2 linked regions of the Lonchura striata genome follow. The protein of the gene in region 2 purifies or fractionates together with the protein of the main gene of each other region. This does not show direct contact. Links are inferred from orthologs where the notes say so. Each region holds a gene or a part of one and is shown on either strand. Other genes may lie near its edges.

What was found.
Region 1: the proteins of POP4 (region 2) and RPP25 purify together in Homo sapiens (affinity purification with mass spectrometry; 3 studies listed by BioGRID and IntAct, counting the BioPlex papers as one, with this or other methods). This does not show direct contact. The link is inferred for Lonchura striata from reciprocal best matches to the Homo sapiens genes POP4 and RPP25.

Annotation. Positions count from the first base shown.
Region 1 is NC_134613.1:5,876,255-5,883,004, forward strand, and holds RPP25 (ribonuclease P protein subunit p25), read left to right. Parts: upstream 1-4,279; 5' UTR 4,280-4,769; coding exon 4,770-5,393; 3' UTR 5,394-6,181; downstream 6,182-6,750. UniProt on the Homo sapiens protein: Component of ribonuclease P, a ribonucleoprotein complex that generates mature tRNA molecules by cleaving their 5'-ends. Also a component of the MRP ribonuclease complex, which cleaves pre-rRNA sequences.
Region 2 is NC_134615.1:9,386,121-9,393,740, forward strand, and holds the start of POP4 (ribonuclease P protein subunit p29), read right to left. Parts: upstream 3,126-7,620; 5' UTR 3,039-3,125; coding exon 3,032-3,038; intron 2,371-3,031; coding exon 2,318-2,370; intron 1,985-2,317; coding exon 1,761-1,984; intron 1,127-1,760; coding exon 1,049-1,126; intron 827-1,048; coding exon 765-826; intron 438-764; coding exon 336-437; intron 1-335. UniProt on the Homo sapiens protein: Component of ribonuclease P, a ribonucleoprotein complex that generates mature tRNA molecules by cleaving their 5'-ends.

The DNA of each region.
Region 1 (6,750 bases), on a different chromosome or scaffold from region 2:
AGTGTTGTGAAAATTTCTTTATTTGACAGCTAAATCATCTTCCCTTCCCAGCATCCACCCTCAAGGGTCATGGAGGGGCAGTAAGGACAACATCCCACCACGGGAAGATGAGAACAGCTGGGCAAGGAAGCAGCAAAATCTCTTTACACCAGTGAGCCCTGGTGGCCAAACCCCTTCAGCAGGGGAACAGCATTGCTGTGGGCATGCAAGGAAGGAAACCTGGCAGAAAGAGGGAAAATGCCTGCTCCACAGATGGTAAAATAGAGGGAAGCAGGAAAACCAGCATGCCACAGATGACCCCATAGCAGGGGGCCCAGCTGTCCACTCTGACCCCTTTCTGGACCCTGAGCTGTCCCCCTGAGAGAACAGGGACCCCTGCACATCTCCATGCCCTGCCCAGCAGCGGGGAAGGAAGGAAGGGGTGGGATTGGGATCATGGATTCCCACTCCCGCCAAGCACTGGAGATGCTCAGCGCCTTGGAGAGCTGCTCTGGCTCTGCCTGTGGACACTGAGCACACTGGATATTTGGGGCTGAATTCTTGTCCCTTATTTCTTTCTCTCCAGCTTTCTCTCACCTGAATTTCCTCCCCACCTGCATCTCTGCTGCCTCAGCACCCTCCCATCCCACTGAGGCTTTGGGAATGGTCACATACAGAGCTGATCCTTGCCCTTGGCACTGCCACATTTTTGCCTGCCTGCAGGTTTTCCAGTCAGGGATATTCAGGAATCAAATGGATATGTTCTCCCCTGCTTCACAGGGATGCCTGGAGAGCCAAGGGATAACAGGTGGAAGAGCCTCCCTGTCCATCCCACACTCCCTGAGCAGGGCAGGCTGGGCAGGAAAGGCAGGCCCAAAGAAAAGGCTGCATCAAGCAGCAAAGTCTCAGCAAGCAAACAGATTCAAAAACAAGGAAATCAATCCACAGGTCCAGTTTAGTGTCAGTCGGTAGGTTGGAGTCCAGACCAGCTGCAGCTGACCCAGAAACCAGTCCTGACATAGCTGAGACTAGGACTGAGACCCCTGGGTTGAGCTTAAAAAGAGCTCCTGGGCCGTGGGCACAGGGGGTTGGAGTCCTAGATGGGGTTGGTGAGGAACATTCAGGTTTATTAATGTCCTCAGGGTCCTTACAACATCCCTCTTCTTATTATGCTGGAGCTCTGCAAAGGGATTTGTCTTATGAAAGGGATTTTTCCCTTTTCTTTTACCGTTGGGTTATTCAAAATGAGGATTATCTTGAGCTCTGTAATTTTCTGCTTATGGCAGGGATAAGAACTCAGCAGAGAGCTGGTGCCACCCTAGGGTGCTCCTAGGGTTCCTCTGGCATCTTGGCACAGCCCCTGCGCCCTGGGCTGTATCCTCAGGGGGCTGCTGCTGGGAAGCAGCAGCTCTGGACCCTGACTGGGATGAGGGCAGGGGATCCCTGCAGCTGTGGCATCCTGGAGGTGCCTGTGCACCCCTTTTGCCAGGGTTGCAATGTGCCCTGGCATCAGCCCGCTGCCGAGTGCAACGTGATGAGAGGCTGAGACCTGAGCTGCGCCGATGTGACGCAGAGATGGGCGATGGCACCGAGACTTTCCTTGTATCGGATGCTCCCACTTTCCGTCCTCTTCCCAACCAGGGCCACCTTGCATGAAAGAAAATATGGAGAGGGCAGGTGGAGGACAGGGGCTCAGGTTACTGCTCCTCTCCACCTGCTCTGATCTCCATTAGGAATATGTTTCTGGGGTTTTTTCCCCACTTTTCCAGGTCTGTCTGGGCTCTGTGCTGCATCCAGCAGCCCTCTCCATTCCTGTCACCACAAGCTCTCCTCTTGGCTGCTCTCCCAAACAGCTCTTCCAAGCTCACACCTCCTGTGGGGTTGGGACCAGGCAAGAGGGTCCCACAGGGATTTGGAAATCCTCTGGCATGGGGTTGGGATGGCACTGGAATGCTCAGAGAGAAACTGTAATGGGAAAGGGGAACCAGAAAACACTCTCTGGGTGTGGGTCCCACTGTAACCAGAGTGGCTGCTCAAGGAGGGCAGACAGACAATACTCAGCATGTAATTCTTTTACTCTTATTTTTTCATCACTCCTGCCTTCCCCATTTGCTTCTTCTCCATTTTAAAGGACTCCCCATCCTCTTTTCCAGCTTTTGTTTCCCTGATTCCCCACGGCTGGAGCTGTCTGTGCCTTTGTCCCCCCATCTCTGCTTTTCCTTTCCCACCCTACTGAGCTCATTTCAGCTATTCCTTGGCTTGGAGTAACCCATCCACACTGTTGTCCTCCAACAAATAAGCTGACAGGCTAATGAATAGCTTCAGATGGTAATTAGCAACGGAGTTGCTAATAATGAATTTCATTTACATTTTAAGCGCTGCAGAGGGAAAATAAGCCCCTGTCATTAATGCCCCCCTGCTCCCAGCACAGCCTTGGCCTTGGGGGGAATGCACCCTCTGGAAGCCTTTCTGTGATTGCACCTCTCCCGCCTCCATTTCGGAGGCTGCGATAAGCAGAGTTCATTAAGCAGCAATTAGAGATGGAGGGGGGGAGAAGCTGCTGCTGCTTCCATCATCTGATGGTGGGGAAGCGCCATGGTGCCATGGAAAATGGGCCACGGGAGGCAGGAGCTGGTTCTGGGCCAGGAAAGAAGGGCTGGGTGGTTCAGCCAGCACCAGGGATTCACGTGGCTTGCCCAGAGCCCTGGAGCTGTCAGCTCTCCACATCCATGTAACCCTCCCAGGCTCCCTGGATAATGACCCTGAGGGATTTCTCAGTCACTGAAATCCTTCCCGATTATTTCCCTAGGGGTTTAGCACATTTTGAAGGCAGGAATTTCCCTGAGGGGCTTAATCCATCCCTGCCTGCCCAAAGAAAGAGCCAAGTGCCTTCTGCATGGATTCCATGATTTGTTGGCAAATGGAAAGATGGAGAAATGTCATTGTTTTGTCTTGTAGGAGTGGGGAATCCATGGTGGGAGCACAGGGAACAGGTTTGCCCACTACTGCAGAGCATCAGAAGGGACTTGGGAATGCTCAAAGCCTGGATCTGGTGCTGGGGGTGAGCCTAGGAGTGTTGCTTGCCCTGCCTCAGTTTCCCTCTGTGCCCAAGGCGCCTCAGGGAGGGTTAGATGGATTGGGAAACAATGCTCCGCATCTACAGGGGTTTTCCAGCACACTGCTTGTGGATGGAGGGTCCCATCCCATCCCATCCCATCCCATCCCACAGACCCACCCAGACCCCAGTCCAGTGGTTGGATCAGGGGGTGTCCCAAATCCATCCCCATTTAGGCAGTGGTATACATAGAAAGCTGCTTTGGGGACCACAGGGATGAGGGATTCTCCCCAGATAGGATGTGACAGCCACATCCTGCCTTCACCTTTGCAGACATGGATCGATTTTATGATTTATTTATTTATTTATTTATGTTTTTTTTTTCAAGCCCTGCTAGAAGTGAAACCAATCCAGGGGCCTCCAGAGGCCGATAAGATTTGACTGCAAGTCAATACTCACATGTCTTTCCACTGTGCAATGATCCCCCGGCCAGCGGGGCGGGAGGGGACAGGCAGGTGACAGGGGCGGGCAGAAGGCCAGCCTGGGGCAGGGACATCGCCTCTGCTCTGGGAAGGGATTGGGGGCAGGAAGGGGACATCTCCTAGCCTGCAGCAGGGATTTTCTGGGATTTGTTGCCAGTATATATAATGGTGAGCCCGCAGTGGGCAGCTCCACATTGGGGATGAATGAGGGACAGGGACTGGGAGAGCTGCAGGGAGAGGGAGGGATGGGGAAGGAGGAGGAGCGGGAGAGAGGGAGAGAAATTGCCCATGAAAACCAGCTCTGCCATGGCATCTGCTCCTCGGAGCTTTGGGAATTGAGAGGTTTTCCTGCTGGCAAAGCCGGGGCTGAGGCAGCAGGGTGCTGGGGGGAGCAGAGCCCTGGCACACTCGATGCACGCTCGCCTGCGATGCCATCTGCCAGGCTTTCTCCTGGCTGCGGGTTCCTGTGGCTTCTCTCATGGCTAACAAGGGTCGAGCTCAGACTCCGAAGTACTTCCTGAAGTACCTGCTGCATCTTTGTGCCATCCCTGGACACAGCGTGGCTGGGATTCCGCATCCCTCTGGGAATGCTGCAGGGCAGGCAGGCAGGGTGACATTTGCAGTTAGCAGTGGGCGTCCTTGAGAGGAGCGAGCACCGAGAGAAGGGACCAGGTTCTCTTTAAGGGGGCAGGACTTTGGGAACATTATGAAGGCAAGAGTGAGCTTCTCCCTCTGCCTTCCACCCTCCCCTCCTTCCCTTCTCTGTTCCAGGACAGAGACCTGGGTTCCCTGCCCTCCCCTTTGCCTGGCAGGGATGAAGGCAGGAGCAGGGTGCTGGGATGGGCGGCTGAGCAGGGGAGGAGGAGGAGGAGGGGAGGAAGGGGAGGGAGAGGGGGAGGATCTGCTAATTACACAGAACAGCTCTGGGGGCTGCTGAAGTCCAGAATGAAGCAAAGAGCAGCAGAAGCGAGTGCTGCAGCGGGAGCGGAGGAGCCCAAGCATCACCAAGAGCTGGAGCTGGCTGTTATCCCTGCTGAGAGCAACTGGGAGCACCCAGAGGATCCTGCAGCCCTGCCTCCCACAGGAGACAGCCTCTGGCACTGCCACCGAGCCCACAGCCAGCCCCTGGAGAGCCGAGGAGAAAGGGCTGGTGGTTGCAGCACACAGGGCTGGGCTGGAGGGCAGCGAGGTCAGCCCTGCTATGGTTGCCGGGGGCTAGGAGCCTGTGTGGATCCACCGGGAAGAGGTGAAGGATGGCTGCCGAAGGAGGGAGAGCCAAGCCCGCTGCCCAGTCCAGGATGGAGAACTTCCGAAAGGTGAGGACCTCGGAGGAGGAGATGCCATTACCCTTCCCAGACCTGCCCCCGGACGTGGTGGAGATGAAAGTCAAGGAGGGCAGCAAGATCAGGAACCTGATGAACTTCGCCATGGCCCAGATGGAGCTGAAGGGCAGGCGGCAGATCGTGTTCAGCGGCTGCGGCAGGGCGGTCACCAAGACCATCACCTGCGTGGAGATCATGAAGCGCAAGCTGGGAGGGCTCCACCAGGTCACCAAGGTACGCTACAAAACTGTGCTGGAGGTCTGGGAGAACCAGGACCCACCGCCCGACGGCCCCGCACAGAACCTGACTGTCCACAAGAACGTCCCCTCCATCTGCATCCTGCTCTCCCGGGACCCCCTGGATCCCAACCAGATGGGGTACCAGCCCCCCGAGCCCCGGCATGAGGCGGGAGAAGACACACTGGGGTCCTCCACCAAGGGGCTGAAGCGGACGCTGCCACCTCCCTGCGAGGAGCTGCTGCCCAAGAAGCTGCAGGTACAGGTGCCTGACAGCCCCAGGGGCACGGGGACCACTGCTGGCCAGCAGGACCACTGACCCCAGTGCCTCCCACCCTACCAGCCAGGTATCGAGGCAGGAATATCCACTCATTCCAAGGTCACTGGTGGGCTGCAGACTCCCCCTGACCTGTCCCCACTTGCTGCTTTGACCCCTGTGGATGGGGGTCCCCAGATTTGGCGTGAGTGTTAAACGGTTAAACCCTCCATGGATTGAAGCAGGTGAGGCTGTGGGGGGGAGCTGGTGACCTCTAATTCAGCCAACCAGGGACACTGTGACCACCAGCCACCTCCTGCAGCAACTCCCAGGGAGCCAGAGCAGCCGAGGGGTGCCTGGACCACCACACCGCTCCCCACTGCAAACACCTCATCCATCAGGAGAGATGGGTTTGCTCCAAGCTTGTTGGAATAAAACCTTCATTATCAAACCTGCCGCTGAGGAGCTGTTGGAGTTACTAATGACAGGCTCAGCATCCTGTGAGACTGTGATTCATCCCAAAAAAATCACCCAAACAAGCACAGGGGTTGTTCTCTCCCTGCACCCACAGAGCCAAGCACTGTACTGTGCTGCCTGCCTGTGGGACAGCAAAAGGAAATAAAACAACCCACACTGGATACTCTGGTCTGGAGCTCGGGGAAGCCACGGTGTGGGAAGCTGGGGGCAATGGAAGCATTGGGCAGGGGATTATTGTGACTGGATGCAGTGCCCAGCACAGGATGAGGAGGTTTTGGGGTTGTGCCTTGGCTGCAGAGTGCTTCAGAGCAAAATCCCTGCTACTTCCAGGGGGTAAAGAGAAATGAATGGAAAATAAAAGCTCTTTAGAAATAGATATGTCTATGGGAAAAAGGGGGGATCATCGTGGCTGCTGGCCATGGCACGGATCAGCACAGTGAAGGCTGCTGCCAGCCCTCAACAAGGGGATCCCAGCCAGACTCTGTCCCTTGGAAGAACGGGACTGGGGTCTCCTGTGCCGGCACAGCAGCACCTGGCAAAGCCCCAGTTCCAGGGGGGACGGAGGAGATGTGGGGGATGTGTTATGGGATGCCAAGCCTTGATCCACCTGGTTCCCTCTGCCCAGCGCCTAGCAGCACTGCGGGATGAATTAATCGGTATTAAGGAGCAAACCCTTCCCAAAATCCACGTGAGGGATTCTCTGGCTGCAGCTGCCTTATCTCCCTGCCTCACTCCTGCTCTACAGGGACAGTCAGCGTTCTCTCTTTGTCAAGGGCTTGCTTGGCTGGGAGTGGGAATGAAAGGAGAGGAGGAGGAAGAGGAGGAAGCAGGGTCTGTTTTGTGAGGCAGTGACCTTGTTATCTCCCTCAGCAGGCAGATGCTCCTCGGGCCAGACGCTTGTGCTTATCTGTCCTACTGCAGATTGATTCCCTTCACTTGAACA
Region 2 (7,620 bases):
CCTGACATACCAGGGGATGTTATTCACCCGGAGATTTGAGCCTTGACACATTTCAAGGATTTTATACTTTATCAAGAGAAGAAAAATAACCCAAGCCTCCACATTTAACTGGAATAACCAAAGTTAATTCTCCTGCAGGAGCATACAGTTCAGTGTTACATCTTCTAAAACTGCTCATTTGTGATGTGTAGGGTGGTAACCTCTGCCACTCTGTGCAAAGAGCCAAAAGCACTGATATAAAACAATGTACGCAGCAGCACAAAATGAAGAGTGTGCTCAAGAATTTTTTTATGATTCATGTCATGAAAAGAACTGAAAAAGAATGCCTTGTATACCTTTTAACTTATCCTCTTTAGTGATAATTTTGAAGATGTGTTTAAATTCCTGTAGAATGATTCCTGTTATCCCAACATAAGAGGGGCACTTTGATTTTGTAACTGAAAGAACAACAATATGTATTAGAAAATTTATCTGCTCTTCTCCTGTTGCTTCATGATTTTATACATTTTCAAACATAAACATTTAAATATTCTGAACTAATGTAGTTACAGTAATCACTGGTAAAATGTGCAGTTAACCTTTGCAACCAACATGATTTTCAAGAGTAGTTGTAAAGTAATTAGCATTTTTAAGGAGAGAAATAAGATCTCAACTACATGATTTTAGAGCTAACGAAGCTGAAAGGAATATAAAAATAAGCACCTGAACTACAGAATCAAATACTGAACTTTAGATGATGTTCTACAAGCAAACAAACAAAATACCTGTAACAATGGCTCCATGGAGATCAGCTTTGAGCAGCTTGCTCTGAATCATATGGGGTTGCCTTGAAGAAGAGAACGGGATCAGAGAGGAGGGAAAAAAATCAAATGAACTGTCAGATTTACAAAATGTCACCATAACTATTATAATCATGATAATTCTGTGATTCTGTAAAATAGTACCAATATGCTTATCAGTGAGCCACAGTGTTTCAAGTAGTAACTCAATAAAATTGGAAGTATCTACTGTATAAAACCCAGACTAAATTTAAAATATGTCAACATACGCATCAGGTTTGAGTCCATGGCACAGGTCTCTGATATACTGTTTCCAAAGCTCGTGGAGTGGGAGGAAAATGGCATATCTGCAGTAAAAAAAGATAAATGAAAAGTATTAAACAAAATTTAGTTGTAAAAAAGTCCATTGGCTGAAGTAGTCTGTACTTCCACAGAGTTAAGTCTGACATTTTTAAGTTACATAAGCTTAAGTTACCCTGCAATGTGACCCACTCCAAACAGCTGGTTTACTTTATAAAACAAGCACAAAGCATGTTCTTTTCTACCAACCTAAAACAGTGATGTGTTTCAGAGCATCAGGCTAAGACTGAAGAAATTTCTCCTTTTTTGCCTATTCTTTTACCTCCCTGCTTAATTTGTTAGCAAAGTAGGGGCTTCATTCAGCACAATAAATTCAAAGAACCTTATGCAGAACTTTGACTCTGTGGTCACAGACAGTCCAACTTTACAAACTGGAACCAGAGGGGATTGTGACTGGGTTTGATTTCTTGTCATATTTAGGTACACAAAATGAGCTCAACAGAAATTAATCTTTCACCTGTGCAGACAAGAGAATTCTTTTCTCATGCTGAAATGCCACAAGCAGTGTTTCAGACTGACTTTGCACACTGCAGGGCTCCTATCCACATGCACTTGCTACTGCTTTTACACACTTTTGATGTAGTTCCACTTTACTACACAAAGTTATATTTAAAGCCCTACCTTTGCTGCTCAGGTTCAATTTCAAACAGACGCAGCTCTCGCCTCTGCTTGGCAGTAAAACCTTTTGTCTTCTTCCTCTTTTGCTTGGTCTTTTTTTTGGGATAATGCTCCAGAATGACAGCTTTCCGATTTAGCATATCCTGGATAGCTTCATCTTTCATTTTGGGCATGCTGCGCCTCAGGAAGGCATGTACAAATGTCTTGGCTTCTTCTGAGCCCTGGGGCTAAAGACAGTTGAAAGGATGCTTTAAAATTTTAGGTGTTAATTAAGTTAGAACTTGTTGCTGACCGGTGGTTTCATCCAGTCGGCAAAATCTCCGTGGGAATGGGAGATTTTCCCCTCAGTGCCGGTGGAGGGAGATGCCGAAGGCCGGCGGACTCACGTTTTGGAGGAAAAGCCCTCGTTTCGCATTTCGTTTGAAACAGCGAGTTCCAAGCGGGATATACAGGGGAAACCGGGGCCCGAACCCACCCCCGCCCGCGGGAGCCCGGCGGGGTTTGAGAGGCCGCGTAGGAGCGGACTGGCCAGGTGCCGCGGCGGGGCTGCGGGTCCGTACCTGCAGGCGCGGCTCCCCGCTCTCCTCGGGCGGCAGCCGGCGGTACAGCTGCCCTGCCGGGCACGGCGGGGCGGGTCAGCGCGGCGGGGCTCAGCCCGCCCCTGGCCCCACCGCCCCCTGCGCCCCTCATCCTCCACCGCCCTCCCTGCGCCCCTCATCCTCCACCGCCCTCCCTGCGCCCCTCATCCTCCACCGCCCTCCCTGCGCCCCTCATCCTCCACCGCCCCCCGCGCCCGCCCCATCCCTCGCCTCGCAATGCCCGCCCCCGTCCCTCCCTTTGCACCGCCCGCCCTCCATCCCTCGCTTCGAACCGCCCGCCCTCCAGGCCTCACTGCACCGCCCTCCATCCCCTCACCCTCCATCACTCTCCCCTCGTCCCCTCACCCTCCACCGCTTTCCCCTCATCCCTTCATTCTTCATCCTTCACTCTCCATCCCTCCCCTCCACCGCTCTCCGAGACCTCATCTCTCGCCCTCCATCCCTCGCCCCGCACTGCTCCCTCCATCCCTCGCCCTCTCTCTCCCTTCTCCCCCACCATCGCTCCCTCCATCCCTCGCCCTCCCTCCCTTCTCCCCGCTCATCGCTCCCTCCATCCCTCGCCCTCTCTCCCCTCTCTCCCCTCTCTCCCCTCTCTCCCCTCTCTCCCCTCTCTCCCCTCTCTCCCCTCTCTCCCCTCTCTCCCCTCTCTCCCCTCTCTCCCCTCTCTCCCCTCACCCTCCATGGCGTCCTGCCGCAGCCGGCGCCGGCCGATGACGAGTCGCACACGCGTGCGCACAGCGGCGCTTCCCGACCTGGCCGCAAGGCGGCGTTGCCGCCCGCCGTGAGGGCGGCTGCCGTAGCAGTTGGCTTTTTCCTGCTATTTCCTGCTCTTGCGCTGATAAATTCTGACCTGGGAGGCACTGAACAGCAGCCATTCCGTTTCCTGTGACGGGGGAGGTTTTTAAAAGCGCTGTCAATCCCCGTGGGGCGCGGTGGCGGACAGGCGCTGAGCGCTGCGGCAGCACGGCCATGGCAGCGTCCTCCCCCAGAACGGCAGAGTCGGCAGCCCGCCCTCACTGCCCCCTCAGCCCGCAGCCGCTGGGATTCCCAGTGCCACCTCTCCTCCTCGCCTCCCTCTTCTGTTGCCTCTTTGTTCAGGAGATCCGCCCTTCCCGATTTCCCGGAGTGGCGCTGGAGCCGGCCGCCGCCCCGGCTCCGGGCCGTGGCGGCGCTGCGCCGCTGCCCCTGCTGAGGTTCCGCCGCTGCCGCCTCTCCTGGCAGGACAGTGTCACTGGCACATTCCTCTCTCTCAGGAATTTTCATAGAGGTGCACAGGGAAAAAAAAGAGAAAGCAATTTCTATTTCTGCTCCTTGTTTTTGTCATGAGGAATGTGTTTGGAGGATTGTTTACATGGGGTGATTGCTTGATTGGATTCTGGTGAGGATTGTTTGAGCCTGATGGCCAACCCAACACACCTGTGGCTGGACTCTCGAGAGAGGGTCACCAGTTGTGACTTAGTTAGATATGGTAGTTAGAAAAGTAGGTATGTAGTTGTAGTATCTTCCTTTTTATAGTATATTCATGTATTTTAGCATAGTTATAATAAAGAAGTCATTCAGCCTTCTGAACTGAGTCAGACATTGTCATTTCTTCCCATTGGGTTTGCCTGCATTTACAACAGGAGAGAAGTTCTTTCCTAGTCCCACCCTGTCCTACACGGCCTCTCCAGCCACAGCCCTGGCTGTCGCTGCAGGGAGTGCCTGGCTCTGCTCTCAGTTGTTAACAGTGTGTCAGAGCTGTCCTGGAACTGCACACCTGGCAACATGAGATCTTGGGTTAAAATCAAGTTAAAACCAATCTCCTGCTTCTAGCAATCAAGGTCAGGACACAGGAAGATGCCACTTGCTGTGAGATTTACATGCTCTGACACATCAGGGCCTCTTTCCTTCTGGGACAGGACAAAGTCCTGCTCACTTACAAAACAGAAGTGTCTTGAAACCAGCATGGTCAATTCTTTTTCCTGCCAGCCCAGTCCCAACCCCTGCAGTTCTCTGTTCAGGCATAAGCAAAGATACAGAAAATATTTATATTCTTTTCACATGGTGATATTTGCTTAGCAGATAATTAAGCACTGCTTGGTAAAGGATATTTGGGGAGGGAGTTACAGGGGCAGGGTATAGGAAGCATGATGGTTTTGTGGAGTGCTGCTGTGGGGCACAAAGGTACTAAAGTGATCCCTAACAGGGAATGAAACAGTAGATCTCTCTGGTTGTGTGTAAAGGAGAAGGGGCCAGTGTCTGCAGAGTATAAACATGAACAGCAGCTGGTTTTTATCACAGACCTCCAGGCAGTAAAGTATGTAACCACAGCAAGTGGATCTCTTGGTTTTACAAAGCGGGGACTCCTTGAGTTGTCATTGCTACTATGAGAAGATCAATTTTCATGAATGGAGTACCAGGATAAGTGCTATGGGTCTTTAGGGCCATATGAGTGCTCCTTCACTGGATTTATGCTGCAATTCTTAGGGCACTTCAGGGATTAATAGTCAAATCAGTGTTGTCGGTGCTGGTGTTGTAAATCCAATGATCCAGGCTAAACTGGCGCCTGGGGAAACCAGTTTCTTCCAACAGCTCTACATCTTCATTTCCCAATTTATCTTCAGCTATAATGTCTGAGGGAGCGAGCTCAGCGCGTTACTGTGTGTCCTGGCAAGAAGGCTCTCTGTCAGGAGTCGAGGCTCACATCAAATAAACATGACAAAGAATAGGTGAAGAAACTGAGAAACCACAGAATAGGCAAAGGCAGTTTGCAGATAAGAAAAAGAAGGTTCAGAGAAATGAGGAAATATGGGTAAGATGTGAATGTAAAGTGATATGGAAATATGCCAGCAAAAAACTGTAATGATTATTTTGGGATGTGCAGCACCCTATCTTAGTATCTTAGAATTTTGAAGCTTTTGACATAAAGCAAATCCCCTTGGAATAGGTTTGTAGTGATAAAGTTCCATGATATATATAATTAATACCATGTTATAGGTGCCAACATTGGTGTTTCTTATCCAATTTAATCTACATGGCTTTATTTATTGCTCTCCAAAAATAATAACATCCCACTCACACTTATGCAAACCCCCTTCATGGACACAGTCTAGCAGTGTGCCCTAGGGGAGGATATTGCTGTGCCTCTTGGGGCTGCTGAACTGCTGGGATGGGCAAGGACCCATGTGCAGGACAGGCTGGGGAGCAGCAGGGTCCTGGGAGAGCTGGGTGGCTCTGGAGCAATTACACAATGATCTTTATTGTGACAGTCACAGAAAGCTAAAACCTGAGATGTGAAGTGACCAAAGACAGTATAATTAAAGATGTTTGTGTTACACAAGAATAGCAGATCAGGGATTAAAAAAATAAAAAAGAGTAATTATGCACTGAGGCGAGAGATGAGCGTGAAGTTAACTGGTGTGTGCAAAAAGTCACTGCGCCGTAATCACTGCTATACTTTTGCTGACAGTGATGCAGGAAATAAATACTGTAATTCTCTAGAAGGACTGTCTCAGCAAGCATTTGAGCTCTCAAGATCAATATAGTTTATTCCTCTTGGCCAAATTGTATTAGCAGCTGAATTTAGTCCCTAGGGACATCTGTACTGGTGAAAATAATTTCTATTTAAAGCCCTCTGATCTGATTTCCTCTATCCAGGTAATACAATTCCCACCCCCTTCCCATGAGTGTGCTGAAGCAGCATCCATCCAGTCCATGCCAGCCCTGCCACCATCCCACAGCTCCTGCCGGCACCCAGACTTGGCATCCTGCTCCTGACATCTCCTTTGGGCCTGGGGGAGCTCAGTGCCAGCACTTTTAGGGCCAGTGGCTGACCATTCCCAACACAGCTCTTCCCTCCCAGCACTGGCTGTGCAGCCAGGACCCTCCCAGGGAGTCAGTCCTTGGTGATCCCTGGAAAAACCCATCCAGCAAAGGGTCATGTCTGGGGGTGGTGGGTGGGCATAGCCTGAACCTTCATCTCGTGTCAGTGTAGGTATGTATGCCAGAGGCAGGTTTGCAATATTTATGTGTGTAAGCCCAAACTCTTGCATTAGGTCCTCGGTTGACTGATTTTAGATTGCTGTGTTTGACTGATGAGCAGCATCTTTTGAAGTACCATGTATCCCTCAAATGTGTCTTTTCCATATATTTTTCCATTAATTTTTCTGCTTTATCAGCTCGCCCTTAACTCAAAGCTTGTCATCGTGTTCTGCCCCCGCCCCAAGCTGATAAACCGTCCTTCCCAGCTGAAGAGTCATTATTTCCTTGCAGTCCTGGCTCCTCATCTTGAATTGCAGCTGCTGCTCCAGGGCACAGACAAGACTGGCTTGTGTGTGCCTGACAGAAACAAGAAAGCACGGGGAAGTACAATCCAAATAGATCTCAGTGGCACAGAAATCAAAACCAAATAATAATCTAAAAATGTTTTCAGAAAATCCCAATGGTTTAATAGCTGGGTTTTAAAAAAACAAAGTGAAAGGAGGCAGGTTTTTGGCAGGCTGTGCCCTGTCTCCACAGCTGCTCACACTAGAGGGCAGCCCGAGACTGTACAGTGCATTTGGAATACAGTTCACTGTCGTAGGGTAAAAAGTAAATTATAAAACTTTACAAATAGTGTCCTCTTATGGAAGAAAAGTGCCCATTTGCAGCTTGGTTTATCATACAGAACTCCAGTTCCTCCACCTACCAGCCTCTTCTGCATCACAGTGTCAGTGAAAAGAGGATTGTGAAGGAATTCACGAGAGGAATTCACAAAGAGGATTGTGAAGGAATTCAATTTCACCACAGAATAAGGAGATAACTTTTTAAACACCAATAAATTCTTGTATCAATATAAAAAAATATATCCATCTTAAAATATTTAAAATATGGGCAACCCTAGAATACCTGAAGATAACTCCTGCAAACTACATACCTTGGTGCGCAGACCAGTGCTAAAATAGCAACACTTGCTTCCCAAAACAGTAACGAGCAGTCAGGAAAGCTGAGGCTTTGGCAGCTGACATTTGCTTTCCCTGCATGCTGGGATCACATATGATCCAAACACACATCAGCATGACAGGCACCACTTCTGCTCCTGAACAGCTTGTATTTACTAATTAATACCAGCATTCATAGTATTCCATGACAGTGTCTCACAGTCATTACTTTGGTTATGCTTTGAGTCTCATTTAGAACTTGTTGAATATTCTATTTTAAAACTTAATTAACATTGGCTTATGTGTGATAGGGAGGTGTGATGCAAAAAATAGATTTGGTTTTGGTTAAAACTAGATAAAATTAAT